3 linked regions of the Caenorhabditis elegans genome follow. The protein of the gene in region 3 purifies or fractionates together with the protein of the main gene of each other region. This does not show direct contact. Each region holds a gene or a part of one and is shown on either strand. Other genes may lie near its edges.

Region 1 (10,801 bases), on a different chromosome or scaffold from region 3:
ATCTCTGTTCGGAAATTGTATCTAACTACAGTATACACCCCCCCAACAAAACTACGAAAAATTGTACAGTGCGCGACTATCGGATTCGTTTGGACCCCCCAATACTCTCCAAAAAAAAATTTAAAAGTGGAAAATGCCCAAAAAAAATCGATCGTCGTACTCTTTTTTTTACCAAATGTTTTTTTTTCTTCTTTTGTCTCACCTCCACCCCACCCCGTTATGTTATTCACTTGTATAAGTTGTTATGAGAAAACCTCAAAAAATTGAAAATTTTTCAAAATAATAAAAAAAAAGTTAAATAATTGTTATTACCGTCTTGTTTTTCTTTGTATATTCTTATTTTTGAACTCGTTTCCAACGATTTTTATACCTCGTTTTCTGGGGGATTTCCCGAAAACCCCCCAATCATCTAATCCGAAATTACAGCTACTGAGAAGCCAGATGTCGTCAGCACAAGTCTACGAAATTGTGGTGGAGTACGCGGATAATCATTGCTCGACGATCCCGTCCACCTCTTCCTCAGTGTCACCAAGAACCTCTGGAGCCACCTCACCAACCTCTTCCACCTCCTCCTCCTCAACTGGCTCCGCGAGAAGAGTCCGCAGACTCTCGAAAACTAAGAAATCCGCAACCTTCCGCAGATCGACGGCGCGCAAGCTCTTCAATGGTAAGATATCAAAAAGGATCCCCAACTCAAAAATGCTCAATTCATCCACATTCCAGTCGGTAAAAAATACGCGAAGCGGTTCGCCACTAGCACCTCTTCAGCGGCGTCGAAGTTGCGGCTCGTCAAATTAAAGGTGGTTAAAGTTTTTCTGATATTTCTGCTTAGCGGAGATTCTGGAAAATTCGCGAAAAATAATATTTAAATTCTCTACAGATCGACAAAAAATACCAACAACGGTTAGCGGAGAGCAAGGCCCGAGTTGAGCGTTTTCAAAGAGAAAGGGAAGAGTTGCTCGCGGGCAACAGCCAAGTCGCTATTTTGGTGAGTTGAAGGACCGAATATCTAGCTTAAAAGTGTTGAAAACTGGAATATTACACCAAAATACATAATTTTTGTGGGTTTTTGCCCAATTTTCTAGTTCTTAGCACTTTCTAGCCTTGTAAAATTGGGAAAATTACAATTTGGAGTTTGAAAACAAAAACTATTTCGATATCCTACAGACATTGGCCCTCCAGAAAGTTTAGGCAGAGTGAGAGAAAATGGGAAGCAAACAGTGTGGCCCTGTAAGTACCTGAATTACACTAAAACACCTATCGAAAATCACAATTTTCAGATTCCTTATACCAAAAACCCTGGATAGATGCGTGTTATTACACAGAAATACACATAAAAATCAACAGATAAGCCCCGTATTTTTTGCTAGAGCAGACGACGATTTCAGCAATGGAAATAGCTCAAAAACTGTGGAAAACCTAGGTTTTAGCTATTTTTTCTACCAAAAATCCACTTAAACCCTTTTGAAATCGCGAAATCTGTTTAAAATGTACAAAAAAACGAAAAATTTGCTCAGAAACTGTTTGGTAAACCAATGAGATTTGTGAATATTTGTTCAAAAAACTAATTTAGATCAATTTTCCACAAATATCGTTGGTTTTACCATAGTTTCTGAGCAATTTTTCGCATTTTCAAGATTTTTTAAAAAGATTTCGCGATTTAAAATAGATTTCCGTAGATTTTTTCTAGCAAACTTAGCTAAAATCGAGGTTTTTTTCAGCATTTTCGAGCTATTCCCCACGTTGAAACTCGAAACTCTGCCTTAAAATTGAAATTGTCTTGCATATATAATCCCCACCATATATACTCAAAATTCTATTGAAATTCTAAAAAAATCACGAAATTAATTCATTAATTTTTCAGTGCGAGGAGGTGACGTCAAAAGCCAGATCGCTGCGCGAATCCTATGAACGTCAACGGCCCGTGTTGTATCACGCGGTGCTTTCGGCATATTTAGAACAGGAGGTGGTGTACGAGGATGATGAGGATGATGAGGAGGAGGAGATGGCGGCCGGATTCTATGGAAGAAGCTACTTTTATTGAGATCTTCGGCCATTTTGTTTCTCTGCAAAAATCTTCAAAATCCGTCATTTTAGTCAACGTCTTCAGCTGCTGTGGTGGTCGTTTTTGCCCGTTTTTGCAATTTTCCGTTTTCTTCTTCCTAATGTACTGTAAATAATGGGAAGAAGAGGATGTCTGAAGTATTGCCGGCCAAATTCCCACTTCACGAACACGCCAAATTTACTCTATTTTAGACTGTTTAGCCGTCATATATTTCCCTGTCGTTTTTCTTGTGTTTCTATTATTTTGTTTTTCAAAAGCGGTGCCGCCAGAGTTTTAAAGAACGCCTCCCCCCTTTCCCCCTATCAACCCCCCTCGCCAATCTTTCCCCTGAATACGGGTGTGTTAGTTTACGGGCGAAATTCCTCCCCCAACAATGCTCTCGCTAATTTGCGCTGAACAGTACAATTTTCATTTTGAAAGTCCCCTTTCTAGACGTGTCGATAGGTGAAAATGGTGGGAAAATTCGAAATTTTCGCTATAAAATATACTTTAATACAACATTTTTCTCAGATTTTCAGCTGTTTTTCGAATTTTCACATAACTCCTCCGGAAGTGGTGGGAAAATTTGAAATTCCTACGGAAAATTTGCAATTTTCGCTTCAAAATTTGATTTTAAACTTGAAAAATCTATATTTTCTGATTTTCACACCATTTTCCACCAATCCACACACCCTAAACCATCTCCAAACTTCATATGAAATAGTAAAACGATACGGTCACTTCGTAAAATAATATAACAAATGAGAAGAACAAGTTAGACGAAACGAAAAAAACCCCCAAAAAAACATTAAAATTAAAAATATTGGAAAAAAATGCTTAATAAAATATTAAAAATATATATGAATACTTGTTTTTGTGTGTTTTTTGTTGCAATGTCGGAGCAAAATTTAATAGAAATGGGAGAAGATTTGGAATCTGAAAATCGCGGCGAGTTTCAAATAATAAAGAGATCACACGAGTTCGCCAGATTTTTTAGATTTTTGATCTAAGAAATTGGGATAATTTCTGTTTTTGGTAAGATTTCGTTTTCAGATTTTTCAAAATTCGATTTCCCGGATTTTACCCGCAAAAATTGTTTAGTTTTTCAATTTTTTCAAACTTTCTGGTATTTTCTCGTAAAAAAAGCCTGGATAACCATGAGAAATTTCGCTGAAATTCGAAAATTTACCTAAAAATCGCAATGTTTGCGGAAAAATGTCTGAATTATTCGGTGAAGCGGGAATTCAAAAATAATTACAACTTTGGCTATGGTTTTGGGAAAATTAAAAAATTTAGGAAAAAAATTTGTTTTTTTAGTATTCGGAATACCGTAATCACTTTTGCTAACATTTATTGATAATTTCTTATCATTTGCGGTTTATTTTCTGAATCATCATCATCACGTCATGCAAAATTACCTATCACTTGGAAAAACTGTAAATTTTTAAAAAATTAGGGGGTTTTCAACTTCAAAAATGTATTATCTAGACGCTTCTTTATGAAACATGCACCTTTAAATTCTGATACGGTAGTTAGTCAAGGTTTTCCTAGTTTATTATTACTCAGGTACTAAATTTCGCGACTTTTTGGTCTCGAAACGTTAACGACAAATGTTTGTTTAATGGGAAAAAAACGTTGTGCGCCTTTAAATAGTACTGTAGTTTACAAATTAGATTGCTGACGAATTTCCAAATGTTTTTTTTGTAAAACTATGAAAAAACGATTTTAAACACGTGAAATTGAGAACTACAGTACTCTTTAAAGGCGCACACCTTTTCGCAGTAAACTGTCGTGTCGAGACCAGTGACCTCCCCCCCGTTACCGTATCCTTATCTTAAAGGCGCATACCCCTCTCCTTGTTTTTTTTTGTTCTCATCGTATTTTTTTGACGCGTACGAGCTCGTTGCCAGTCAAAAACTAAATAATTTTTTTGAAATTTCAGAGAAACAACTGGCAAGGAACCCCCTACGCGACTGCAACGACACACCAACGGATAAAAATTATTAATTTCCCCCACTTTTTATTTTACTCAAAAATTATACAAATTCTCACCCAAATTTTTTTCCAAAAACTCACTAAATTTCAATTTTTCACCGTTGAATGCCTTCAAAAATCCATAATATATCGATTTTTTAGCTTTTCTACTGTAAAAACTTTCATGAAACTTATTTAACGAATTTAAATAATTATATTTCTCACAAAATAAACAATTATTTTTCTCAAATTACATATTCATCGAACACACATCTCATATAGGGCCTCCACTCAAATTTCAGGCAATTTCCCTCGAAAATTCGCGAATATTTTAGCCAATTAGGGGGTATAAAAGCGTGTGTGCTCCGCGGGAGCCAACAATAATTCTATCGCCTCCAAAAATGCCGATTTCCGAGCTCGAAAAGGTGAGCTAATTTTCAATTTCAGTCTGGTCAGCAAGTTCGCTTCAATGAGACGCTCATTCCAATGTGAAAACGCGCTCCACGGCAAATTTAAAACGCTCCGCCTTCGAACCATGGGTCTCGTTAGGTATTTGGCGGTAAAATCGTGAATTTGAACTTTTTTTCCGTAGTCACGGATTTCTGGCTTCCCTAGGGAGGGAATTCCCTCGTAAATTGAAATGGAAGATTTTAGGCCGAACTAGGCCATTTTGCCTCGGCCATATCTGGGGTAGATTTACGGCGCGTTGCGTGTCGCGTCGCGGCTCGGTTTTAGTTGTAAAAATAAATGTATTTGTCCGTGTTGAGTACACGACACTTTTCCACGCGTTGACGATTGTCAATGGAGCGCGAAAAATGCATTGAGGAAGCCCAGAACACTGATTTTGTTAAATCCAGAAAAATGAAATCGACGTGAAAACGCGCTCGGCGGCTAATTTGAAACGCTCCGCCCCCGAATTATGGGTCTTGTTTAGGTATGGCGTCCAAATTTGGCGGTAAAATCGTAAATTCAAACATTTTTCCTATATATTCCGTAGTTTTTGAGAACGCTGCAAAATTCTCGAAAACGTTCGAAATTTTTCACCAAATACCTATTACGGGACCATGAGATCATGAGAATGCCTACTTCTCTGGCGGCAAATATCTCGTAGCGAAGGGACCTGCGTCTCTCTTCGCCATATGCTCTCTCGCTGCCGCGGCCTGCCAATATTTTCGCGCCAGTAATAGGCATTCTCATGATCTCATGGTCCCGTAATAACGAGACCCATGATTCGCGGCCGTTTACGCCCCATAATAGTAAAAGATGCAAGCGCGCTCCACCGAATTTTTCGAGGATTCAATAATAACAATCAAATTCCCAATTCCCTCAGAAATGGACCGGGCTAACTTTTGAAATTGCCGCCGAGGAGATGCGTCGGCTCAAGTCCGAGCCAACCGATCGAGAGCGGCTGAAACTCTACGCATTGTACAAACAGGCTCTCCATGGGGACATTCCAAATGAGGATGTGTATCGTAAGGGTCTCGAATGGAAAATAATCCAAAATCTAACATTCTATATTTTTCAGCAGTTCCCGCCGGTGACGAGGTCGGCAGGAAAAAATATGCCGCCTGGAAATCGCAGAAAGGCGCGAATTCGGAGAAATGCCGCGCGGACTACGTGGCAATCGCCGAGGAAATGATCAAAAAATACGGGCGGAACATTGTCCGTTGCAAGTGGAACAGTGAAGTTTGGTCTGTGGATTATTGATTGATTTTGAGTATTTTTTTGTTTTTGAATAAAAATTCAAATCTCTTCATATTTGTTCTTGGCGTTCTGGGTCGGTGGGTATCGTGGCGAGACACCGATAGAGAGAGTGAGATAGACTAGAGAGAGAGATAGAGAAATGGGGAATGTTTGGGGGGAAACGGTAGAGATCACAAAATAACTTTTTACAATCATTATCAAAATAAATATGGCTCAGATTGGCCGGGGGGTGGGACACAAAAATACAAAATATGGACATTTTTTTGGTGGTGTGGGGGGAAAATTATGATATGACATGAAAATTTGGAGGGGATTTTTTGTTCTTGTTGTAAGAGATTTTGGACTGGGACAATTTGTGAGAATTTGGCAGATTTTTAGGTAGGTAGGTAGGGGGTGGACGGAGGAATCCAGATTATCTCGAATAATGATCTTCGTGAGCATCGTCGTCTTCACCGCCCATCGATGATTCCTCTTGGATCATTGTCATTTTCCCGAAAATCTTCTCGTACCACGGCTGTTCTTGGACTGGAGATGATGTGCTGGTGGTCGTGGTGGAAGGGATTTGATGAGCTGGCAGAATCGCCGATGACGTCATATTCAGATGAGAACCGTCGACGAGCAGTGTATCCTCCTCGCGAATCAGTGAAAGATCCTGAAACAAAATTTGTATGGAGGGGGACCAATCAGCGATTCGCACCGCCCATTTTTCAACCAATCAAATGAAATGGGCGGAGTTTATTTGAAGTAGATTTTTCATTGTTCAGGGATTTTTTTGTGGTTTTTTTTGGAAAGAACAGCGAGAATGGGGGATTTTCTCTAAAATTCAAAATGGAACTGCTAAACCAATCAGCGTCCTCGAGCTCCGCCCACTTTTTGTGATTGGTTGAAAAGTGGGCGGAGCGAATCGCTGATTGGTCGCAGTTCTCATTTTGGAAGGAATTTCGCCAAAATTTAAAAAAATCGGGTTTTTAAAAAATAATTTTCATTTTTTTTCGTGGTTTCCCTGAAAAATAGCTAGAACGGGAATTTTGCTTCTTTTTTTAATCCAAAAATAGTATAAATTCATTAAAAACCACAAAAAGGAACTGCAAAACCAATCAGCGTCTTCGAGCACCGCCCACTACATCTGATTGGTTGAAAAGTGGGCGGTGCGAATCGCTGATTGGTCGCAGTTCTCATTTTGAAGGGAATTTCGCCAAAATTGAAAAATCTGGTTTTAAAGTAGAATTTTACATTCTTTGCCGATTTTTTTGGTGGTTTCTCTAAAAAAAGCGAGAATGGGGGTTTTTCTCTAAAAAATTCGGAAAAAAAACTACAAAAAATGAAAAAGATTCGTAAAAAGAGATTTAAATTGATATTTAAACTTTGAAGAGAACTGCCAAACCAATCAGCTCCGCCCACTATATATGATTGGTTGAAAAGTGGGCGGTGTGAATCGCTGATTGGTCGCATTGAAAAATCGCATTTTTTGTGTTTTTTTCATAATTAGAAGCAATTGTTCAGCGGGGATGCCGTACCCTTTTCGGTAGAACCGTCGCCCGTTCCTTCTTGACAACTCCAGTCTGATTACGCTCGACGTGCTCCTCGTTGGCGCGGATCATGGCTCCATAGGTGCGAATGTTCTCCTGAAAATTCTCAAAACTTGACGGTTTTATCCGGGAAAAAGGCGGACTAACTGGTTTTCCGAACATTTTCCCGCTTGCCATAGAAGCTTCATAGTCGGCCTGATCAATGAGAGAGCTCAGTGGACCGGTGGATGGTGGTGCCGGAATATGACGACGTTGATGATGATGATGATGATAATGATGATTGTCAGACCTTTTAGGTCCGTCACCAGTTGCCATTTCAATATTGACAACTTGCATCGATGGATAGACAATCTTCGGAGCTGGTGTCTGCTGCTGCTGCTGCTGCTGCTGCTCACTACCAAGATGCTCGAATTGATGATGAAGCCGGCGGCGAGGAGCACTGTATCCACTATCCGACATATCGTGGAAATTGTTGAATGGTGGCCGACGATAGCGTTGTTGGTACTGCTGCTGCTGCTGATGTTGTCGATGGTGAAGCTCACTCAGATCCTCCACTTGGGATGATGATTCGTCGGGATTGGTGATCTCGTCGTCGCGAGCCGGTGAGATCTCGCCTTCTTGAAGAGCACGGTTGTACTCGCTCAGTGGAAGACCCTGCAAGAATTTTTTTTTAATTAAAAATTAAAAATTCCTATGGAAATCTACTAGATTTTGAATATTTTTCGGGAAAAATTAGGAAATCTGCGCTGAAAATGACTCAAATTTTGATTTTTTCAATTAAAAAATAGCGAGAAAACAGAACATTTGAAAAATTTCACTAAAAAATCAATGGGTTTGGCAGCTCTATTTCTATAAAATGAATAGGAATTTGAAGATTTTTAACGAAAAATCAGAAAAATCCGACTGGAAATGACGAAATTTTTGTCTTTTTTGGTGAAAATAACCTAAAATTTGTGAAAAAAAAAGAATTAATCGCGATTTTCAACGAATTTCAGCTCGAATTTTTATGAAATTTTTAGGAAATGCAAGATTTCCCACAAAACTAGGGGCAAAATTCAGTGAAAATGGCGAAAAATTTGTGGAAAATTGAACTGAACGCGACTTTTAACAGTTTAACGAAAAATCTGAAAGTTACAATGTGTTTCACACAAAACGAGGATTATAAACTGACTTCAGCTCAAAATTTCCATGAAATTACTTAGAATTTGATGATTTTTAACGAAAATTTGAAAATCTAACTGAAAATGACCAAATTTTGATCTTTTTCACTGAAAATAACCAAAATTTGTAAAGATTTCGCAATTTTCAACGAATTTCAGCTCAAAATTTCGACGAAATTAGTAAGAATTTGAAGATTTTAAACAAAAAAACCTAATATAAAAACCTAAGAAAATAATGCTATTTTATTCATTTATGAGAATTCCTGCAATCTCAAATGTTCCAACCTTCTTCAGCTTATGAATAAACTGGCATCGTGGTCCATAGGGACACTGTCCAAAGTTGGAAAACTTGTCGCACAGCTGCGTCTTGTACTTTGGATGCGCCTTGCCACGTGGCTGCGACGGCATCCTCAGCTCGTTCTCGCCGTGAGCAAACCGGCAAGCTTCGCCGTACGGGCAGGAGCCTGAGCGCTTAAAAGCGTCACAAAGTGCCGTCTTGAATGCTTCTTCCTTGCGCTTCTGACGCTGAACCGACTCTCGTTCGTCATCAGTCATAGTCTCCCATTGAGCGGAATGACGGCGATATTGCGATGAGGAAGAGGACCGATGCATGTTGTTGAATGACTGAAAAATATTAGATTTTTATATTTTTTGAATTTAATAATTCAAATTTCTCCTACGTCATCGGACACAGAGATATTCTTGTTGGTGGCTCTGCGATATGGCATGCTTCCAGCCTCAATTGGCTCCTCCAACATTAGCTTATCCATTTCGGGAATCGCGGCCGCCAGCGACGGAATGAGGTTCCTGTGGGGAAGCATCGGGGGAAATCCTAAAATTAATTTTTAATTTTATTCGATTTATCCTTCAGAAGCTAAAGAAAATACCATGTTGATACATATTCTTTTGTGGTTGGAAGCCTAGAAACGTTTGTTGAGCCAACGCGAGAAGAGCCGGGTCGCATGGAGCATTCATGAAGTACGGCGTCTGCTTTTGTTGGTGATGCTCTCCATTTGAAGATTGCATCCTTCTCCTTTCCTGAAATTAATTAATTTGGTGGAAAATCGACGAAAAATCATGTTTTATTGAGGAATTGAGGAACAAAATCGTTAAAAAAAGGTGTAAATTGAATTAAACTGAATTTTTGGGCAAAATCTCCGCAAAAAATGAAGAAAAATGAGCGAAATTCGCGCCATTTACCTCAAAATCCAAAATTTCCCGCTCCACGGGCTACGGTAGTCGTGGTGAGACCCTGCAACAACTTTTGTGGCTGCGTCTTTGAACCGTAACTTTTTGATTCATTTTTATTATTCTTCTTTGTTTTCGGACAGTTTCCTTGTTTATTTGTTCGGTTTTTGATGTCGAAAACTCTAGAAAACAAGAATATAAATTGAAACTCTTCGAGACACAATCTATTTTCAGATTTTTCGCATGTCTGAAAGCTTCTTTCCATTTTTTTTTCGTTTCTTTTCCCCCGTCTATCATGAAAAATTCTCTGAAAAAAAAACTAAATCCGGTTTCCAATCTTTCGAAATTTTTTATTTGCCTAGTTTACACTCAGGAATATTCCTAAGTATAATACCAGGAAACCCCCCGAATACCCAGTCTTTTTCCATTTTCCCAATTTTAATTTTATGTTTTCTGTACTTTTCCTTTCAAAAAGTGCTTCTATTTTTACTATTCAAAGCTGCTCAGCGTGAGCATGCTCATGACTAAGCACGAGAAGCTGAAGCTGAAAAATTAGGGGGATCACTTATTCGGTGGATTTAAAATTTTGAAAATTAAAGTATATATTTTGCTAGTTTAAGCTGTTTGTTTTAAAGCTTTATCTTTAATTTTGAAGTTTTTAATTTTCCTCCCAGTTTTCACCATGAAAAACTAATTTTCTGCTCAAAATCCCCACGAATCACTTTCCATGCTTCGATAATTCCCGTGGTCTCGTCACAAGTGCGCTCTGTCGAACGCGTCGCGGCTCTCGCGGCGCGTGTCTCATCTGGCCATTTCTCCCAGCTGACGGCCCTGTCACGTGCACTTTTTGCCCCTTTTTACACAAAAAATCGCCACTTTTTCAATCTTTTTGTTCTTTTTTTCGTCACCATCACTATCCTCTTTGTCAGAAAATGCGAAACTTTCCATTTTACAGGCGCCCTCACGCGAAAATGGCCGATGCGATTCAAACCGCTCCTAGGTTCACTGGTTGGTTTTTACTCGAAAAAACTGATACAATACTATTTTAATCCAGGGAAAAATCGAGACCCGCAATTATTCACGGTAACCAATCATTACAACGAGGTGAGCTACACATATTTCATTCAAAAAATCGAAAATATTCCATTTCAGGCGGGCACTGGACCGCTCGAAGCTGCCATTTGTAGGCACAATCCGCTGCA
Region 2 (10,491 bases), about 10 Mb from region 3:
CTCACGAGAATTTCGTGATCCAATAAACACATTGAAAGCTTATATCAGGACACTTGACGACGTAAAAGAAAACCGAACCTATCCAGATTTTTTTCTCGATTGGAAGATATCTAGTACTTGAAAATGTGTTCATAAAGATTGGAACTACTACAGAATAAGTCATTAAGTTATTTTCTGTTCCTATTGTTCAGTTTCTACAAGAAATCTATTCCACATTGACTTTTGTTGTGAATTTGAACCTTCCGTTGGCCTAAAATACTTCTGTAGAGCTACTTTTTTCGAGAGTATTCTTAAGTCTTCTACAGATTCAACTTGTTGGAAAATCGGGAACTTCTCTGATTCCTCGAAAATACTGTTGTTTAAAAAAAAATTTTGGCCTAAATTTTTTTTCCTCAAAAACACCTTCATTCTGGTATTTTCTAGGAGCATATGTCATCTGTATTGTTTAATAATTTTTTGCTTCAAAAGCTCTGTTTTTGTGCTTAAAACTCTCATTTTTGTCGATTTCCTAGTTTAAAACATGGAAATTAAAAACATTTCGGAGTACGGTACACATCGGTGTTTGCGTACCTTTGCGTATTGTGCATTTAATTCGACGACGTCCCCACACCTCGACAGTTAGACATTCTGTCTTTTATTCTGGGCGACTGGTGGTTGCCCTCCCTTGATTTTTCCTGCTATATTTTTGGATTCAAATTGTTTTTCCTAACAACGGTAAGTGTTTTGAATAAATATTTGATCACGATTTTTCCGAGAAATGTGGCAAAATAACGTCACAAACTTTATTTAAATACATGTTTTTAAATTTATAAGGCAACGAGCATCTTGAAATACACTTTGATTTTACGAACTACTTGAAAAGCCCCGGTAATTGTGATTTCTCTTCATTGTCTTCTTCCAGAACAAGATGCGATCCCAACCAGCCCAGCTTTACGATCTGTCAAAGAGAGCCATCGCCGCAAAGGAATCGTACAAGAAGATGTCTCCGAGCAAGAAAAAGGAGGAAAATGCGAAAAGCAACGCCAACAGAGCTTCGAGGAAAGGAAGTGGGCCGAAGAAGGCCAAGCCTTCTGATGCTGTGAAAAGGGCGAAGGAAGCCGAAAAACGAGAGAAGAAGAGGTTGAGCGACAAGAAACGATGGGAGGAATTAAATGATGCAGCGAAGGAGGTATGTTATAAACGTATTCAATTTATGATTGGAACCTAATTGCTTCAATTATTCAGGTCGTTCGAGCTAATGCACGAGAAGCGTCAGCAAGACGCAGGGCTGGTCGCGATGCAGGCCTGTCAGCGAATCCGAAACGCTCGCCACGATGGTCTCCGCAACCGGACCCTTCCACGCCATCATCCTCCACATCATCCTCCACATCATCCTCGCCGTCGTCGTCATCCACTCCACTTACCAGCACACAGAGACGCTCGCCACGATTCCACGCCGCCCCTTGATTGATTGATTGATCTTTCCCCCAACTAACATTTCATACTTACCCCGCTATCATGTAAAATATTTATTTCGCATCCCTCCCCCTTGCCATTAATCTTATAAAACAGGTGCCCCCTCTTGCAATTTACCATGTAATTATGAATAAATCATCACTGTCTCTTCGAATGGAAATTTGTTATAGAGCGCACTTGCATTTTTGCTATTTTCTGCGATTTTTTTCTGTTGAAAGAACATTCAGTTCAGATTTATTTTTATTTTTTGCGTTCTCGGCTTACGCATCAGCGAAAGTTTATGCACGAGTTGCGAAATTCTATGCAGGTGGTGCAGAATTCTATGCAAAAGGTGCGCAAGTCTATTCAGGAGTTTCATTTTATGGAGGATTTTTAACTTCACGTAGGAATTTTCACTTCATTTTCAATTTACGCCGAAGTTTCACTTCACACACTGAGAAAAAAGAACGACAGCTCACGTGAAGTGAAAAATATTTTTAATATTAAATATATTTTTTAATAAATGAGAGCAAAAGTTCACGCAGCGGCTGATGTGGTGTTTCCACGTGAGCTTGCCACGTCATCCATCCGCCCGTCTTTGATCCGATGACCTTCCCGGAAAAGTTCAGTTTTAAAACGTTTTTCGTTCAGTCGTGTGAGTTTTTTTTCTATTTTTTTTTGTTAATTTTTAATGTTTTTTTTTAATTTCAGAGTCATCTTCTGCCTGACAATGAGTTCTTCTGCCGATTCGCTTACGGACGGCATTCAACTTCTCCGCCTCGCCGAAAAGCATCAACACTCGTCTCTTCTGACTCCGCCACCGTCGGATGACTCTCAAAAGTCGCTGAAATCCACTTCAAACCACTCGGATCAGGAGATGTCGAAGAATCTGCACGATGTCGAAGCCTACATCGATGCGCTGAAAGGCGAGAAGCATCAGCTGGCTCAATACTCTAGCGGCGGCTTCAACCATGTCTTCAACTTGATCGACAAGGAGATTCAGAAAGTCGGAGGAAACGATGCTCATGATGGTGGCTCACAAATGAGTGGCGATGGTTCGATGCTCACGGAGACTATCATGGTTCCAGTAGAAAAGTTTCCCGATTACAACTTCGTTGGAAGACTTCTTGGACCACGTGGAACAACTGCAAAGCAGCTCGAAGTGACAACTGGTTGCCGCATCACAATCCTCGGAAGAACCAAGAGAGATGGATCAAGCTCGAATCCCGATGTCACTACAGGTCCATTGAGAGTGCAAATTTCTGTTCCAGCAGATATGCCGCAAGCTGCAAAACTCTTGAAAGGTGGCGTCGGTCACATTCAAGCAATTCTTGATGTACCAGTGAGTGAAAAATAATAAAAATATCGCTTTTATCCACCAATAATAAAAGTTTTCAGACTGACGGTAACGACGAGCTGAAGCGTCAACAATTGCTCATTCTTGCCAATATGAATGGTACCTACCAACCTCGCGGCTCAGCCACATCTCCAGGATCCGGCGACTATGGGCATCCGTTCCAGAGTTAGTATTTTTAAAATTCTCCTATATATATATAATTTTCCTGTATCTACCTGTATCCTTCATGTGTCTATCAATCACCCATTTCGTGTTCTATAATAATTATGATAATACTTTTTCGAAAATTCCCAAATAAAAACTTAAAAATATACATTACGTTTGTTACAGACCTGCTTCCATACGGTTATCGTCTGCCAGGCAACAGCCCAAGCCACCATGAGTCAAAGAACGACTGTTACAATCCAAAGTGTGCGATGATGAGAAGCTTTATTGAGCATTCCAACAACAATCATAGCTCAATGCAGTTAGTTGTAAAACTGAGAAAATATATTTAAAATCTAATTTAATTTCAGAAAAATGGATGATGTATTCCATATGATGCACATGTACGAGCTCATGAACCGCGTCCGTATCGCCAATTCCCATCTTTTCGGACGTCCAGAAGACATCAGCAAGGCCCAGGAAATTGGAAATCGCATGTGCTCATCGATCAATGCTCCACGTGCTCGATCCTCCAACTCCACCACCACCACAACCACCACTCTGCCACCTCGTCGTTTCTTCAACACGAAACCACGTCCATCATACCAAGCTAATAACGAATCCAACAACGCTAACAAGTAACCAGATGTAATTATAATTACCTACACCATCCCCTTATTCCTGTAATCATTTCTTGTTAAATTATTTATGCTCCATTCCCCCGTTTGATTGTTCATATTTCTTTCCGAAATCCGAGCACTTCTCCATTTTCTTCATCTAAAATTTAAAAAAGTAGGCTTGAAGCCAGTGTTTGTTAGAATAAAAGAGCACAAGCTCAGTGTTTTGTAAATTTTCTTCTCAATTTTTGTTTCACATCTTATGTCTGAAGTTCGGCAGCGAAAAAGTTCGATTATCGACAGTGATTTGGACTTTTCCGATTCAGATGGAGAATTCAAAGAAATCATTAAAGACATTGAAAATGATCAATGGAAAGATAAACCAGTCGATGAAACGAGATGGTCGTAAGATAAAAAAAACTCTAAATTTCTAGCTTTTTCCATAGATTTTCGGATTCAGAAAAACAAAAAGTGCTGTACACGAGTGGGGATTGTCTTGTTCGTGGCATGGAATCCCTCACATGGCTCAATCTCTTTCAGTAAGTAATAGGTTCAAATATTTCTTCAAATTCAGAGATTCCATGATTCCAGTGGCCAACGATCCTTCTCTGGACAACCTTGCTCATTATCAGCGCCGTTTTGTTCGTCTACCTTATCACCGTCACCGTTCGCCAATACTTTTCGTTTCAAAAATTGGTGAATCTGAATGTAAATTTCTTAAATCGCTTTTTTTTTTAAATCTTTATTATTTTATTGAAGCCAAAGAATTGTAGATTGGAATGGTAGAGTCGAACTTCCCATCAATCACATTCTGTAATACAAATCCATATAAATTGAGTGCAGTTCGAGCGATTCCTGAGCTGGAAGCCTTGGTAATTAAATTTACAAAATTTAAAATGAATCGGAATTTTGTTTTCAGCTCACCGTCTACTCACAAGCCTATACATGATAAAACTTTGGATTTTTATTTTTCTGCATTTTCAAATAAAGTCATAACAAACAACAAAACAATCATCTCAAATTGCAATTCAAAAAATCGACAAATCCCGTGATAATCTTCTCCTTATCAGTTGTCGGATCCTTCTTCGACATGTTCACAAATTGGTGTCGCAGTCGATTCAGCTCAGGCAGCGTTCTCAATTTCATAAACTTTATCGTATTGGCTCCGTCTGTTGCTCCAGGAATCGTCAGGTTTTGACCGCGAACTGCAGTTCTTTGAGCATTTAAAAGCACTGTAACAACGTCTTGTGTGGATCGATCCAGCTCGTGAAGAAAATTTGTCGGCGCCAGTGGGACTGTCTGTGTTGATTGGTTTTCTGTGAGCTCTGTTCCCTGGAAAACTAATTATTTTTCTATTCGATAATTTAGGATTCACTTACATTACAAATCCATTCAACAATTTCATCTTCAAAAATGCTCGCAAATCTCGGAGCAGGATGCTCCAAGTCTATCGCCATATCCTCATCGAAGTCTACAGGCGTGGCTCTGGAATAGGAAACAATTATTATTTTTTTTTCCAATTAATTTTCCAATCTCACTTCTCAGCAGTACCAATTTTAACCTCAAACAATGGTTTTTCCCATCTCAACTTCGTATCCGGCCTTTCATATCTCATCATCAACTGATCGATAATCTCCTTCGGATATCTCTCCACTTCAGGCTTCTGCTCATTGAGCCAGTGACACGTGGCGACGGGAGGCGAGCACTCGACGACACAATACGTGGTTTTGCTCATCTTAGCGGCTAAGAATAATTCATATCGATATCCTTTGATATAATTCAAAGCATCACATATTATAACTTTATTCTTCGTTAGATTCTGTTGAACTTGAGATCGAATCCAAGATCGGAGATCCTTCTCTTTATTCGAAAATTCGTAGTTTTTTCGATCAAATCCTCCGTAATCTTCGTCCCGTATTATCAAATAGTCTTTGCCTGGAATGATGGGAATTTTAAGAAATTTTAAAGCAGAAAATACACAATTTTTACCTTTTTCCTCGAATTTCTTCGCTAATCTATCAACAACTGTAGATTTTCCAGACGATGGATGACCGGTAACAATGATAAGAGGCATAAATATCTAGAATAATCCTTATATTTCAGTAATTTTGACATATTTCAATCCATGAATTTTGCAAAAAACAACGTCGCACAGAAATAGAGGCGGGGCGTAATTTTGCAACCTTGCGGCACGATTTTTTACTCTATAAGAGATTGAAATTGGATCGCATTTTCATTCGAAAAAGAGAATAAAACGAGCAAATTCCCCGATCGATCCTGTAGTTTTTTGAAGTTCCGCATCTAAAAAAAGTAATTCACGGTAATGAACCGTTTACAATATTTTAGAAAATTGAATTTCATAAATTCAAAAATTGCAATTTTATTTTACAGTTGGAGGAAATCCGGAAACAATTTAAAACTTTCACGACGATTTGAATTTTTTTTTGTGGTTTTTTGTTTCTCTTTGATGATGGCCATAATTAAAGGAATAAGGAGGAATGCGACTTAATGAAAAAAATAAGAGAAAATTACAGAGAAAAAAAAAAGAAATTAGGTATATATTTTAATATCACACAAGATGCTGCTCATCCGTCAAACGGTGGAGGAGAGTCAGAATCCGACGAATCTCTATCCGGTACACCAGTTGCTGCGTCTTCATCGAGGAATAGTGTCAATTTGTCGTTGAATGGACGTGCTTGAGCGGCCGGATACTTTTGATCACGATCACAAATTCCTCGTACAATTTCCGCTTTTTGTTTCCCGCAAATGATGAAAGCAACGTTTTTGGCGTGTTGAAGAGTTTGCAAAGTAAGTGTGATACGAGATGGTGGAGGTTTCGGGGAGTCTGTGATGACGGAAACCCAATTTAGCTCGGTAATCTTCTCCAGCCGCTCCTTTCCAGGGAAGATACTTGCAGTGTGACCATCTGGACCAACTCCAAGGAAAAGAATATCGAAACGAGCAGTATTGTTGAGCTGCTCCGGGAGCAAGTATTTACGAAGACTGATTTCATAGTGTTGGGCGGTGAGGCAGGGATCCTTGAAAATTTGCATGGGCACAAAAACGTCTCTGAGCTCATTCGGGAATAATCTCAAATATTCTCCCTGATTACTTTCCTCGCTATCCAGATCAACGTTACGCTCATCAACCATAAAAATTCGAATCCTCTTCCAATTCAGCTGCTCTTGTGGCAAAGAGAGAATAGCTTTCGAAAAGACTCGTGGCATCGATCCACCGGAAACTCCAATACTGACTGTACCATTTTGATCTAGAAGATAGGTGAGCTTTTCCTCGAGATAACGACGCAGCTGAAGGATGAGCTCCTTTTCGTCGCCAGAAACGTTGAGCGCCGGCTTCATCTGAAAATAATTTTGTTTTATAAAGAATAAATACATTTGAAACGAGATTTTACATTGCTATTCGATACGAATTCGTTAACGAGACACATTGATATTCTCCACGGAATGAGCGGGGGCTGAGTGAGCGGAAATACTGAAAAAGAAGCAAGAAATAAAATCGTTTATGACATGAAAAGGATTTCTCTTCACGAAATAAACCAGGTTTATTTTAAAAGCTAAAGGAAGGTGTCATAAATAAGAAAAAGGAATTTTAATTTATTTAAACTGTATTATTATTATTCAGAAAAAAGCCGATGAAAACAGGAAAAAAACAAAAAGTGATAAATGTCTAGCAACAATACTCCGAAATGCATGCGCGCCCAGTTTATTGAGACGATAGACTATGCAAAAAGACGAGACGCAGAGTATGCAAGCATGCTCCACTGCACTCTTGTGTCGAAATACGAGCGAGTCCACGGATTTTCCATTGATTTCCGAGTTTTCTTCGCATATTTTTGCAGTTTTCAAAGCTTCATGATTTGCAATTTAATTATCAAATACTTAATATTGTTATTTGTAGTAAATATGACCACAAAACTGGCGCGATTCGCTCAAAAACGATGGATTTCTTCGACGACTTCCACATCAAATATGTACGATCCAAGAGTATTCAGAGATCCCGTAACGAATGTTCAAGAGGTTAATTTGTTTGTTTTAATCTATAAATCTTAACTATTATTTTAGCTCCGAAAACCATTGGATTCGGATGATGAGCGCAACTTTTTGTTCCTCAAAGCGATGAAAAGTGATGCGACACCAGTATTTTACAGAGATCATGTGGTAAACTTGCAATGCTTTGAATATTTTTTTAAAATCAAATACTATTTTAAAGATCGACAAACTAATTCGAGTGTGCACAAAAGACGGGGAAAAGGAGACTTCTCGCAAGAATGTGCTCAGCGCGTTGGAAATCATCAAGCGCCGGCAGTACAAGGCATGGGCAAAGGCTTCCGAAGAAGAGAAGAAAAGTATCGAATTAGACCCATTTCTTGTTGCGAAAAAGGGAATTAAAGTGAGAATTTATATTTTATTGACTGGTTAATTAAAAATAAATTCAGAATTGTCATCCTCTCATGAAGCTTCAAGGTGTAACCCGAGGAGGAACCACCTATCAGGTTCCATTTCCAATTGAAGAACCAGAAGCCGAGTTTCGAGCAATGAAAATGATGAGAGATATTTGTAGAGTTCGATCGAAACATGGAGAGACACATTTCAAGTGGGTTAATTTCTATTTTTAAATTATAATTTATTTAATTCCAGAGACATCCTCGCGACCGAGCTTCTCGCCGCCAGTCAAAACGAAGGATCAACGATTCAAGCGAAACAGGAATTGCACAAGACTTGTGAAGCGAATCGGGCATATGCACATTATCGTGCCTAATTATTCATTTTCTAGACATTCTATAATTAGCTTAGATTATCGTTTCTCTTTTGTTTTGTTACTTTTTTTTGTGTTTTTAAACTTTTGAATTGAATTGAAAATATCGATTTATTTCTTTCCGTTTTTCCGAAAGGCAATCATTATACCTTCAATACCTTTTATTTTAAAATTTGCTTTCATTAATTACTAATTACCTACCACCAGAGCTTCCAGATGTCGAACCAATCGGCAACAGTTGAGCAGCTCAGTGGATTCGAAAAGCAATATTCGCTTCAAACTGCGGAAATCACCTCGAAAATCGGCCGCGTGCACACTCTGCCATCGTCCGATCGAGCCGGAGCAGTTCAGGAAATTCGAAAAAGTTTGGAAGAAGTGAATGATTTGCTGGATCAGATGGAGCTGGTTGTTAGGGAGTTGGAGTCGAATACGTTAGTTTTTTTGCTTTGATTAAAATTGTAATTAACATAAAATTTGCAAAAAGAGAAAAAAAAACTGCGCCGCAGGGCTGCAAAATTCAGTACTTTTCAGAACTGAACGCACAAAATACGAACTTCGTGTTCGAAGCTATCAAAGTGACAAGAAACAATTGGACACAGAGCTGGAAAAAGCTATAAAAAGAGTCAGAGAAGAAGCTGATCGGGATGAATTATTGGCATTTGATGATCAATTAGATGAGCATAGGCAGGAGGATCAACTGATAGCAAATACTCAGAGATTGGAGAGGTCTACGCGGAAAGTTCAAGATGCACATCGGATTGCTGTTGAGACGGAGCAGGTAGAGTCTCTTCGACCCTTCAATTCTCTTCAAAATGTGCTAAATTAATTCCAGATCGGCGCCGAAATGCTCTCCAACCTTGCGAGTCAACGTGAAACAATCGGTCGTTCCCGTGATCGCCTGCGCCAATCAAACGCCGACTTGGGAAGAGCCAACAAGACGTTAAGCTCGATGATTCGTCGAGCAATTCAGAATAGATTACTCCTTTTAATTGTCACTTTTCTACTTTCCTTCATGTTTTTGTACATTGTCTACAAAGCTATCTAAAATTTCCAGTCTTTGCTTGCCCCATTTACAACCGCCAATCATAAAAAAAGTGACATATTTTCTATTTATATATATATATATATATAGTTGTGATTTTGGACCTTTCTAGTCATTTTTTTGCTTATTTTTCATGTAAATGCAATGTATATAATTATTTTATATTTTCTCGTCTGATTCTGATAAATTAATTTTGATTTTCGAGTTGATACAAACTGATCGTTAGGACCCACTTTTTAAATAAAAAATCCATAATTTCCCTCGAGAAACTGTGATTCCTTCCCTGATTCATCATGAATATTTAATTTTATGTGCATTTTTCTCTCCGAGAAAACATTATAAAACCACGTGAACCCCAAAATGCCTTCCATTTTCGATGAAAATTCGATTTCAAATTTATTTTCTTGTTTATCCGACTACTAGTCATGTCTAACAATTCAAAGAGTACTGGTAAGTTATTTGAATGATTGGAGGCCGAGTTTTCTTTTTTGGCGGCCACGTTTCAACATTTTAAGAATCTCGAAACAAATCGCAAACATCATGGAATCCGTTTCGAAAAATGCTATCAATGGTTACGGGAAGAACTGGCTCGGAGAGCAATTCCAACACTTCTGATGGCGAGAAAACAATTTTGAGGTATACTAGGCCTGAAAACTTCTGATATTAGTTAAGCATGCGCCTTTAAGAAGTACAGTACTTCTGTCGCTTATTACAGTCAACTTCATAGTGCTCCACGCGCGCCCTGTATTTGTCGGTACACTGCCCCAAACCACACTAGCCACGAAAGTTTTTCAGTATCGCTTCTTCGGCTTATTAGCTAAGATCAAAGTGTAGTATCTGTTCTTATCGTATTAACCTACGGTATACACTCGAATGAGTGTAATAAAGGTTATATGATTTTTGGAAACTAGGGAAGACTCGGGGCTTGCTCCGTCTTTCCAAGGGTCGTCCCGGCGTTGCACTGCTGCCGGGCTCGGCCCAGTCCCCGAGGGGGCAAAAAAGAAATACAGGCTGATTTAAAAAAGCAAAGAATTTCATTAGGAGCCAAAGTAATCGCTAGAAAACGGATGAAAATGTAGTTTTCAGATGGACCACCGCCTGTCTCACCACAACGTGCCCCA
Region 3 (10,941 bases):
TAGAATCCATAAAACTCTCTTCTTTATTCGTTTTCACTTTTTTTGGTGTCGTTTCGATTTGAGAGCAATTTGAAGGGGGAAGGAGATTGAGAAATGTAATATTTTGATTTAAAATTACAGATTTTTTCAAGTTTTAAAATTGAATTCTTGCCTTTTTAATTTTTAATTTTGGTTTAATAAAGTGTTAAAGAGATGAAAATCTGAGCAGCCGAAAATTTAACAAAAAAATTCCAAAAAAGGCTTCTCGGTGAAGCCGGCACTAATCGAGCGTGATTCCGAAGGAAAATGGATGGATTTGACACTTTGTTTTTGTGGTTTCTAAACAACAAGAAAAAAAAGTTTGAGACGGATTTTCGAGCCAACTTGGGAGCGGTGATATATTATTTTTTATGGACATGAACTTTTTTTTTCAAAAAGTTGCGAACTTTTTTTTTTGAATGGAAGAAGCAAATTTGGGGAATTTTCGAGGCAAAAATATTTCAAATTGTTGAGGCGTGGGGCGCTTTCCAGCCTTATCACTCGCCTGCCTCTACAACAGGGTGTTTGTGGCTTTCCGCATAAATGGGTCATACTTGACGAAATCCTTCAACTTTGCTATTTTTGCAAAATTGGACTCGCCCATATATTGGTTTTTTTGGCATATTCGCAACTTTTTCTTGTATTATTTTAGTAACTTGCTACGAAAAACAAAGAAAAAAGTGGTCAGAAATTATGAAATTCAATTAAATTTTAAAAAAACCACATATACATACACTTTTCTCTGTCTTTGTCATATGATCAGTTGCCAGACAAGTACAATTTTTGATTTTCCAAATCTCATAGACATTCCCATAATCCGTTGCGAAAGAAAACTCTTGGAGAAGAAAACATTGAAAAGGGATTTTTATGAACAAACAAAACAAAGTTACGAGAAACCTGTAGATGATGATGGGATTTCAAAAGAATTCAAGAAAACAACTGATCAGGAACGAATTCAAGAAAGGGGTGAGAAGCTCACAGAGCTACTGAATTGTTAAATAAAATGGAAGACAGTAGGCATGCAGTAGGAAGGCAGTAGGTGGGCAGTAGGCAGGCAGTAGGCCGACAGTAACCAGGCACTAGGAAGGCAATAGGCAGGCAGTAGGCAAGATACCTGCATTTTTTAAGAAGGCGTGAAGAGAGCAAGAGATGTGGTACCCTCGTTACGCCTCCACACAGTGTCCAGAAATTAAAGCAAAAATCCATTAAGAATGAGTAAACCCGTCGTAAACAAGTATCTTGGAACATTTTGTAGTCCGTGAGCAATCGCGTGTTTGGCTCCGCCCAAGCCAACAAAAGCCCTACAATTTCCTGCTCATTCTTCATTTCCTGATCGCGAAAGACAACAACACGAAGCACGAGGAATCGGGAGGGACGAGTACGGATATCCGGATATTCAACTTTTTTTGATTTAGGACGGTTTTTGACAAGTGAACATATTCATGTAAAGAGGGAGAGGAGACTAAATTGGAGGGTTGGAGCCCTGTAACATTATGTGCACATGGCGAGACAGTGCCTGCCTACTGCCTGCCTGCGACAGCTTCTGATGATGACTATTGTGAACCAGGAATTTGTCGGCTGCACATTTCCCAAATTATAGCTTCTTTCCCCGTGAAATGTTTACATTTATAATAATATCAGGGTGTTGACACCCCGTACTACATTTAGCAATAACTTTTACACCAAATGAATGAGTCAATTTGGAAACATTTGTAGTAATCTTTGAATCCACTCCTCCTCTGTTTTTCCCCAATATGGAACAAGTCAAACCCGTCTTTCATTTCTCATCGTCGGCATCATTAAGCTTGTCCTACTTTCTTACTACTTGTTGTCCATCCTCTTGAGGAACAGAGATTCAGGCAAAAATGTTGATGGAAAAACGTTTCGAGAGTGTTCACAAAAAGAGACCTCAAGCGGTTGTGAGTTTTCTTTTCAATTATCTAGAGATCAAAATTTAATTTTTTGAAGGAATTATTCCAATTAAACACAACACTCCTCTTCTGGGTTGGATTTGTTCCTCCGTTGTTTGCCGCAGTTTTTGCGATTCTCACTGCCATTATACTACATCAAGATAAAATCACAAATTACGCATGGATCTGTGGGGTAAGCTATTTTCGTCAAGTGCATTTCCCTACAGCCTGCCTTCTGACTGCCCACCGCTTGCCTACTGCCTGCCTACTGCTTGCCTACTGCTTGCCTACTGCCTTCCTACTGCCTGCCTACTGCAATTTAAGTTTTCAGAGAGCTTTTCTACCATCACTGTCAAGAATCATCAACCTAACTCTCGAAGGACTCGTCTGGCAACTATGCATATTTTTTCATATTCCCTTCAGATTGCTTGAGCTGTCAGTGGGGTGTGAGTTGATTTTTTTTTGGGAAAAGAAAATGTATTTTTAACGGAAAACTTCCAATTAAAAGAAACGTAGAAATTCGAAATAAATATTTTCAAGCTGACAATAAAACAATTGCAGGGGTAAGATATGGCCGATTGGAGAGCCGAGCGAATACTCATCGTCTGTGGTATAAAATGCATAGACATTTATATTTGGTTTTTGGTGTCACTGAGCTCATTCTGCTCAGCGGATTGTCAGCTATTGGAGAGAAAGAGCATGGCAGTGAGTTTAAGTTTTTATTGGAGAAAAATTAAAGAGATTTTGAGGGCCAGGAAAAATTCTGGTAATACTCAGCTCTCAGCTCTAGGTGCCCGAGATGTTGAGCTCCTAAACTGAGAAAGTTTCAAATTCGTTTTTGCAGAGCCTCACTGAAAATCTGAAAATCAAAGTCTGAAAAAGTTATTGTCACTGACCTCATAAATTCTCCTAGGTGAACCGTAGTAGGTTTTGCGAAACTTAAAATAATTAACTCTTTATTACGGCATCGTCCGTTTTTCGGTTGGTCTCACCCGGTGGTGCCTCCACTCGCCCTCCACAGTCCCCCCAACCATGAACATTTTCAGTTTGGCATGTATGCTTCTTCTACAGTTTCGGAGTTGTCGCACTTCTATTTTTCATCTCCAATACTGTCTGCCACTCCCAATCTCTTTACTTTCTGAATCCCTATGTAACTTTTTTCAATTTTTCCAAAAAAACACTACAAATCTCTATTATCAGGGTCGAATATCTTATCATGTGAAGATTGTCATCAGCATTTGCTACTTCCTCTCAGCACCTGCAATTGCCACCTTTTATGCCCTGTATTGGAAAGCTTGTTTTACATGGGGTACTTTAATATATGAATTTGATATGAGAAAAAAAAAATTATTTCAGCGTATGAACTATTTGCACTAGTGGAATATTTGGACGTTTTCATGGTGATCTTTTATCACGGATGCTGTGTATATTGGGATATTCAGCACAAGGTAGGGTTTTTTACTATAGTTTTTTTCCAAGTTTTGTAAACTTTTCCGTATTTAATATTTTAAATGTTCCTGCAAGAATACTCCCCATTTCTCAAAACGGCCAAGAAAACTTTAGAATTTACCAAACCTTTGACTGCAAAATTTCAAACTCCAAAAATTTCGGAAGCTCATAAAAATCCTCAAATTTGACAGAAATTCGAACGTATGGAAAATCAAAAGTTATCAAGTTCTGAAATCTGAAAATTCTACTGACTTCTTTTTTTTTAATCTTCAAATATAATTTTTATTTTATTCTCATACATTTTCATTTTCAGGTGGTATTCAGTGTTCGTCTCAACAAGCCCTCAAAACTAGATAATATCATCGAAGAGAAACCGCTGAAGAAGGAAGTTACGACGGAATTATGAATTTTAAATATTTGTGATTTTATTTCAAAGGCACATACTAGGTTTTCTAAAGAGTTCCATACTCAAAGTACGCTCTTCGATCACAAGGTATTCGCGAAATACACTGAAAACTAATTTTTCTATTATTGGAAACTTAAGTCTTATCATTCTGATCTGATATTTTGAACCTCTAGTTTTATTTTTATTGATTTTTTGTTTGGATATTCATATAATGTGCTTTATGAATAATAAAAAAAATTGGTTTCAAACGAACTGGAATGTGCTGTGACTTCCAGTGATTTCTGGGATTTCAGCCGTTTTCAGATTTCTTTTTTCGGTAGAATTGACATTCGGATTTGAGACTTTTTCATTTTTTTTCACGAGAAACTAATACTTGCATTGGATTTGGTATGTCATATAACTATTGTTTATTCTAATTTTCCATTTGATATCTAGGAAATTGAGGTAAAATTATCGAAAAATTGGAAAAGATCGCATTCAGCCGCCGCTCTTCAATTTTGGATACTCAGACATTTTCAGATTGTTAATCTAAAATTAGTATATGAACCAGTTTACCAAAAACCTTTTTTTTACCTGAATTTAATTTTGATAGCTTTGAGAGCTAAACTGCAAAAAGTAGGAAAAAGTACACTAACTGCAAATTGATACTCGTAAATTTCAAATAACGCATTATTATTGCAGTGTGACTATTTGCTAATTTTCGAATACATCAATAAAGAATATATGATTGTTTGATCTATCTTGTTTCAAGTCTACCCTATCATTTCCCATTCATTTGCAACCCAGACGCAGAGATACAAACCACAACTCTTTGAAAATCGATAGATAATTTATGGTTCATATTATCAGTTTATCAAGGTTTTCTTATCACCCATTGTCTCGTTCATTTCTGCCATGTTTGCAAAACTGTCCGTCCACCAGCTGAGAGATCTTCTCCCTTTCTTTACTTCCCATCCAAAATTTGCATTATTTGCCAACGCTGTGAAATTCGAAATCGAAAAACGTCTACCCAATCATCCGTGTGATTTCTACAGCTATCAGAAATCCGAAGAAAATGCAAAGTACTTCTATTGCTTCCGCCATAATCGCCTTCCAGATAGTTGTCGGTAAGATTTATTAGGCTTGAGGGGGAGAGGTTTGCCAATGCTTTTGTACACAGGCCAATTCTAATGATAGGAAGCGTTCAAACCACGGTCAACGGGGATGACGTCATCTGTGGTCTGGAACAAATCAAAAACTCGGAACCTGAGTTTGAAAACATTATTCTTCTTGTAGCTAGTACGGAACTCGCGAAATTGGTAACAATTTATTTTTAGGATTTTTTTAAAATTTAAATAAATATACAGTCTAGTTAAGTTTGTAAACATCAAATTAAAATTGAGGGGGGGGGGGGGGGGGTTTGAATCGGCATAAAAAAGTTTTTTTTTTGAGATTTCTCGTTATGAAATTCAATTTTTTAGGGTTTTTTGAGCTTATTTAAACAAAAACCTCAGCCGATACTACCATTTTTAACGCTTTTGATAGACTATTTTTCTTTTGATCCTTTTTTTATTCAGGCCAACAAGTATCTTACAACCTGCTGTAATATCCGTGAGAACTATAATGTTCCCTGTAACAACTTCTACCTACCTATCACTGTTTGCCCTGAAATTCAAGAAAAAGTCGATGGAATCACTCTTCCTGTCTCCTTTTCAATTGGTTCCACTCGACTCGAAGATGCCGAAATCGTGAATTCCACGTGGAAATTTGCCACCCCGGAAGACATTTTGCAACAAAAGTGAGTGAAATCGAAATAATTCGTTTGTAAATGTTTGCTAGGGAGAAGATACAACGCCTTCCGACCGCCTGTATATTCCACGAGGAAAAACCGATTGCGTTTGAAATGATAGGATTACATGGGCAGTTATCGCACCAATACACAATGCCAGGATACAGAAATCGAGGATTTGGAGCGATCATTGAGAATTCAATTGTTTCGAAATGTTTTAGGTAAAAATTAAAAATTTTATTGGATGGTAGGTGTTAGTAGGGACAAGGCGCCCTGGACGCCCAGTAAACGCCTTCAAAAAAGAAAAAAATTGTGAAAGAAAAGTGAATATGAAATGAGAAAACCTCATACATAGAAATTAAATTTGAAAAAAGTAGTAGTGGAAAATTTGCCATCCGGGAAGAAACACGGGCAAGATAAGCAAAACGTATTTAGATAATAAGTTAACTAGTATAGTATCTAAATTAAATTATTCCAGAGAAGGGATCACACCTGTCAAATCGGTGGAGTTGAGCAATGAGCCGGTACTGAAAAGAAGTTTAGAGCATCCACTCTGGGAAATCGTGAAGGATGAGAATGGAGACAAAGTGATTTTCGATTATATTGAGTATTATTGAAATTGATTATCTAAAACAAATAGAATATATTGTTGGTTGTTTTTCTTTTAATTTTTGAAGGAATATTTTATAGGTTGACTTATATTTATTGTGTAACAAAAACAAAAGTAACAGCATTTTTTGAAAATGTTCCTGAAAGTCAGGATGTGCGGCGCCGATACCAAACTGCTTACGCCATTGGTACAAAGAGGTACACGGAGAAAACAATTCTTAAACTTTTTGAACTGCGATAAATAGTTATCTAGGTTTTAGTGTCAACTATCAACCGTTTTCTTATCACCCACTGTTCATTTCTACCATGTTCGCAAAACTTTCCGTTAACAAGTTAAAAGATTTTGTCCCTTTTTTCAATTCCCATCCAAAATTTGCATTATTTGCCAACGCAGCAAAATTCGAAATCGAAAAACGTCTGCCCAATCATCCGTGTGATTTCTACAGCTATCAGAAATCTGAAGAAAATGCAAAGTACTTTTATTGCTTCCGCCATGATCACCTTCCAGATAGTTGTAGGTAAGATTTATGGCTTTTCTGGGATTTTATGGAAGGAACGTTGGCCTCATTACCTATAATGTTGCAGTTAGAGAATCTTACAGTAATCCTGACAATAGTGTAACTATCACAAGCCATCCCTGAAGAGCTAATAGAATAAACGTGTAAAGTTTTATTATACTCGACATTTGGCACCAGCTTTTCCCAAGTTTGACACGAATAATAATACCTTACTATTAGATCAGAAGTTGCAAAACTTGGGCAAAAGTTAGGCAAGCCTTGGTTTCGGCGACCCCAATGTTTAGAGGGTTGAGCTTGAGTTGACCCTAAACTAAGTCTTTCCAAAGTCTTGCTTAATTTTTGCACAAGCTTTTTCAACTTCTGGTCCAAACTTTAGCAAGATGCTGGCGCCAAACTCCGATTAGGGCATGTTAGGCCTGGCGGACTCGTACCCTCAACTACACTTCCTGTCAAAATAAATGTTAAGATCCCGTTCAAATTACCTGCAAACGGAAAATTGGTAATGTATGTATAAAGCTGCCGTGCACAAACACTAGAGTTCGCGCCAAAATCTCAGGCAGGCACCAAGGCCAGAAACTGCATGATTGCTTTGAAGTCTAGTGAATAATTTTGTACACAGACCGACTCTAATAGGAAGCGGTCAAACTATGATCAACGAGGATGACGTCATCTGTGGTCTGGAAAAAATCAAACACTTGGAACCTGATTTTAGAAACATACAAGTTCTTGCAGCGAGTACTGAACTCGCGAAACCGGTAAGCTTTTTCTGACTAGTTTTCTGAAAAACTGTGAGTGAAATCGAAATGATTCGGTTTTATGAAAAAAAAGTTTGCTAGGGAGAAGATACAACGCCTCCCAACCGCCTGTATATTCCACAAGGATAAACCGATTACCTTTATAATGGTAGGATTGCATGGACAGTTAGCTCATTTGTACACACTACCACAATATAGAAATCGAGGATTTGGAGCCATAGCTGAAAACTCGATTATTTCGAAATGTTTTAAGTAGAACTTCTCTAAAGCTCAACAAGTCTAAAATCACATTCTTCCAGAGAAGGAATCACACCTGTCAAGTCCATAGAATTGAGCAATGGACCGGTGCTGAAGACATGTTTAGAGCATCCACTTTATAAGATCCTGAAGGATGAGAATGATGGCAGAGGGATTATTGATTACATTGAATATTATTAGTATGTTTAAGTGCCACTACTTTGGTTTTTTTTGTAATTTTTTGTTTAATTGAAAAAATAAATTTACTGCTCATCGAGGAGGTTTTTCTGATTATTCAAAAACGTATTTCTGACGAGAAAAAACAGTTTCAACTACAATAGTCTGAACTTTACCTAAGCCTAAGCCCAAGCTAAGCCTAAGCCTAAGCCTAAGCCCAAGCTAAGCCTAAGCCTAAGCCTAAGCCTGCACTTAAGCCTTATCCAAAGCCCAAGCTGAAGCCTAAGCCTAATAGTAAGTCTAAGCTAAAGCCTGATTTTAAAACCGAAGCGCTCGTGATTGGAAAATTAATTCTGCCATCGAGAAGTCATTGTAGGACCTAATATTATTCGCAATCAGATTCAGGTTTGAAGCTTCAGTTTAAGGGGAACGCCGGAATCAGCTTATCAGCTTCCAAAAATCGATGAGGACGAGAAGGGACATCCCCAAAACATCCCCACTGCAGATCTTCTGATCTTCTCCTTCCTAAACACATCTAACTCCCAAAATCTACAATCAAGTTTGCTAGCTTGCCATTTTCCTACCCTACCAACAACTTTTTTCTCTAAAATCCCGAATATTAACACAGTTCGTTTATTCTTTTATTTGCAACAATAGCATATAGACGAAATGTACATCAAGTTTCAATTGAAACTTCAATTCCCTTTTTTTTGAAACATCTCGATCATTGTGGCCGAATCAATCATCCTCACACAGCCTAGGCATCCCTGGATCACCAGTGTTAAAAATTGCGTAAGATTGTCTGGAGGAGGTGGGTGACATCAGGAGAAAAAATGAAAGACGTGTATGTCTCTCTTTCGTTCTGTTCCAATTAAAACTTGTTACGGTACGAGACTTTTTGAGTTTGCCATTTCTCCGCGCGCGCGCAGGAAGCTACACCACACCAAAAACTACATATGCGAGACGCTTGTACGATTCGGGTTACGTAATCATTGTGGATGCAAATGGCAAATGTAGGTAGAAGAGAGGGAAAGGAGGAGATATAGGAAAAGAGATATGATTATTCGATGCGAAACTGGGTGAGGCTGGGATAATGAGTAAGATGCTGGGAATGGGAAAAGACTTGGGCTCCTGGAAACTTGGCGGCTCCTAGAGCAAATAGGAACTTTTAAGTGTATTACTGATGCCTTCGAGACCCAGTTTAAGGAAGTTCAGACTGTAGAGCTTTTAAACCAGGCATATTCTGTGAAATTAAGTAGGCACTTGACTGCCTGCCTTCAAGGCGACCTGACAAGACACTCCTATGTTAAATAGTGTGAGTCTTGTAACCCGGAAATTGTGGGGCGGTGCAACAAGCCGCCTTGAACTTCTGTCTAATGACACCTAATGACATCTGATCAAGTCGGCTAAAGATGGAATAGGTAGGCATGTCGGTAGGTCAGTTTTACCAAATTTCAATATGAATTTGAAAACAAAATTAGGAAAAGCGCGTTCTATTGTACTAGCCTCAGATGAAGGCTGCCAAAAAATAAGCCAACATTTGACAACCTTATACCGAAGTTTGGCAATTATCTGCAAAAGTACGGTAACTTTTTGTTAAAATTTGACAAGATTCTGCCAGAGTTTGACAACTTACTGTGACTTGCAACTTACTGGCAGACTTTGGAAACTGCTTGTCTTTACAATCTTTAAAAGTTTAGCAATAATTTTTGGGGAATGACTGAGCACATGGCAACGTTTTGAAATTTTGCAAAAAAACTTACAACAACAAAAAAAATGGAAAAAGGAAACATTTGGCAAAAGCTGGGCAACCTTGATTCCTCTAATTTGCGAAACAGTGTAACCAGGAAGAGCGATAAGCTGATTGTGTGATTTACAAGCCCTCAGCGGGGTGCCCCACACCGGCGGGTTTTATGATCATTATGATATAAACAACACAATCCTCTCCCCCCCCCATATCAATAGTGTTGCATTATCACCTTCGAAACATCACAGGCTGATGGAGAGACGCAGATGTTACCGGCCCATTGAACCCGAAGCCGAACGCTCTGGTTTTTTGGACGAGGAGACGTAGAGTGTTGGAGAAGAAAAAAGAAGAAGAAGCCTGGGTGTCCAGTGACGAAGAAATGGGATTTCGAACCTGAAGGAGGTGTGGCTACGGTACGTGGACACTGGCCAAAAGCTCCATGCCATAAAAGGCTGACTTTGCCTACCTCTGCTGACTTTCTTGTCTCCCCCCACCTCCTGAGTGAGTGAAGCGATTTTCGCAATGAAACACGTATCCAGACTGCTTTTGGTGAGTACTTTTTTGGTTGGTTTCGAGAAATTTATTTACGGAGATTGTCATTATGATTGTGTGTGTGTACTGTGCGTTGCCCAAGGAAAAAACATAGCTAATTAAATTTTAATCGAAATTTTTAATCAAGTGCGCGGAGGATTTCGTCAAGTTTTTTGAACTTTTTTTGTGAAAATTTTAATTTGAAATCAACTCAATTAATCTAGATTATCAATTGTTTTAATTTCAAGGGGGTTCTCGGTTAGTATTGGGATTTTAAAGTCTTACTTCGTTTTTTTTTCAAAAAGTTTCAACTAGTAAGTTCATGTCAAATTTTAGAAATTTTGCTGTAAAACTTTGACAACTTTCTGTGAACATTTTTCAACTCTCTGCTTGCGTGCAATTTTCTCTGAAAATGTGGCGATTCTCTGTTCAAATTCTGCAATTTTCTGTCGAAGTTTGGCAGTTTTTTATCCAAGTTTTACAGCTTCTTGTCAGACTTTTCAAACTTTATGTAAAAGTTTGACAACTTTCTACCTAAATTCCTTCAATTTCCTGTTTAATTTCGGTTTAAAACCGCTTTAAACAATTTGGCAACTATTCTCAGAAAATTGCAAGTAAATTTTAGCCAACAAAAATTTGCCAAACTTTTATCTGCAAAAAGTTGCTAAAGTTTGACAGTAAGTTGTTTTTTCAAATGACCCTCAAGCCGCATGGTTAGCTTTGATAAAAGCTTAATTTTTTTTCAAATTTAGTTTCAGGAGAAATGCCAGGAAATTTTCTGTTTTGCTACAAAAAAAAATCTGAAATCTGTTAGTT

The links.
Region 1: the proteins of ZK185.3 (region 3) and acbp-6 fractionate together in Caenorhabditis elegans (co-fractionation; one large-scale study listed by BioGRID). This does not show direct contact.
Region 2: the proteins of ZK185.3 (region 3) and Y57G11C.43 fractionate together in Caenorhabditis elegans (co-fractionation; one large-scale study listed by BioGRID). This does not show direct contact.

What each region holds. Positions count from the first base shown.
Region 1 is NC_003280.10:11,967,285-11,978,085, reverse strand, and holds acbp-6 (ACB domain-containing protein), read left to right. Parts: upstream 1-4,353; 5' UTR 4,354-4,419; coding exon 4,420-4,443; intron 4,444-5,348; coding exon 5,349-5,490; intron 5,491-5,543; coding exon 5,544-5,725; 3' UTR 5,726-5,773; downstream 5,774-10,801. Other genes in the region: Y17G7B.21 (Regulator of rDNA transcription 14), read left to right, coding at 442-667, 724-800, 881-988, 1,865-2,044; mex-1 (C3H1-type domain-containing protein), read right to left, coding at 6,135-6,374, 7,240-7,356, 7,399-7,905, 8,697-9,035, 9,092-9,243, 9,299-9,437; W03C9.5 (PTK2), read left to right, coding at 10,571-10,607, 10,654-10,703, 10,752-10,801.
Region 2 is NC_003282.8:14,764,710-14,775,200, reverse strand, and holds Y57G11C.43 (Protein KTI12 homolog), read right to left. Parts: upstream 5,761-10,491; 5' UTR 5,627-5,760; coding exon 5,542-5,626; intron 5,488-5,541; coding exon 5,091-5,487; intron 5,038-5,090; coding exon 4,932-5,037; intron 4,885-4,931; coding exon 4,564-4,884; 3' UTR 4,502-4,563; downstream 1-4,501. Other genes in the region: Y57G11C.51 (DUF3362 domain-containing protein), read left to right, coding at 908-1,168, 1,225-1,446; Y57G11C.36 (K Homology domain-containing protein), read left to right, coding at 2,165-2,776, 2,833-2,956, 3,122-3,257, 3,307-3,577; degl-1 (DEgenerin Like), read left to right, coding at 3,815-3,957, 4,013-4,091, 4,144-4,260, 4,326-4,424, 4,472-4,501; Y57G11C.3 (Putative 6-phosphogluconolactonase), read right to left, coding at 6,138-6,911, 6,965-7,000; mrps-7 (Small ribosomal subunit protein uS7m), read left to right, coding at 7,476-7,589, 7,635-7,730, 7,783-7,962, 8,009-8,166, 8,211-8,331; vti-1 (t-SNARE coiled-coil homology domain-containing protein), read left to right, coding at 8,545-8,759, 8,860-9,106, 9,161-9,373; Y57G11C.5 (SERPIN domain-containing protein), read left to right, coding at 9,796-9,820, 9,886-10,006, 10,457-10,491.
Region 3 is NC_003282.8:4,524,064-4,535,004, reverse strand, and holds ZK185.3 (Glycine N-acyltransferase-like protein), read left to right. Parts: upstream 1-4,572; 5' UTR 4,573-4,677; coding exon 4,678-4,889; intron 4,890-4,942; coding exon 4,943-5,081; intron 5,082-5,339; coding exon 5,340-5,560; intron 5,561-5,601; coding exon 5,602-5,772; intron 5,773-6,029; coding exon 6,030-6,168; 3' UTR 6,169-6,246; downstream 6,247-10,941. Other genes in the region: ZK185.4 (Frag1/DRAM/Sfk1), read left to right, coding at 1,884-1,937, 1,987-2,121, 2,260-2,374, 2,490-2,633, 2,975-3,078, 3,129-3,237, 3,285-3,376, 3,691-3,783; ZK180.6 (Prion-like-(Q/N-rich)-domain-bearing protein), read left to right, coding at 10,117-10,143.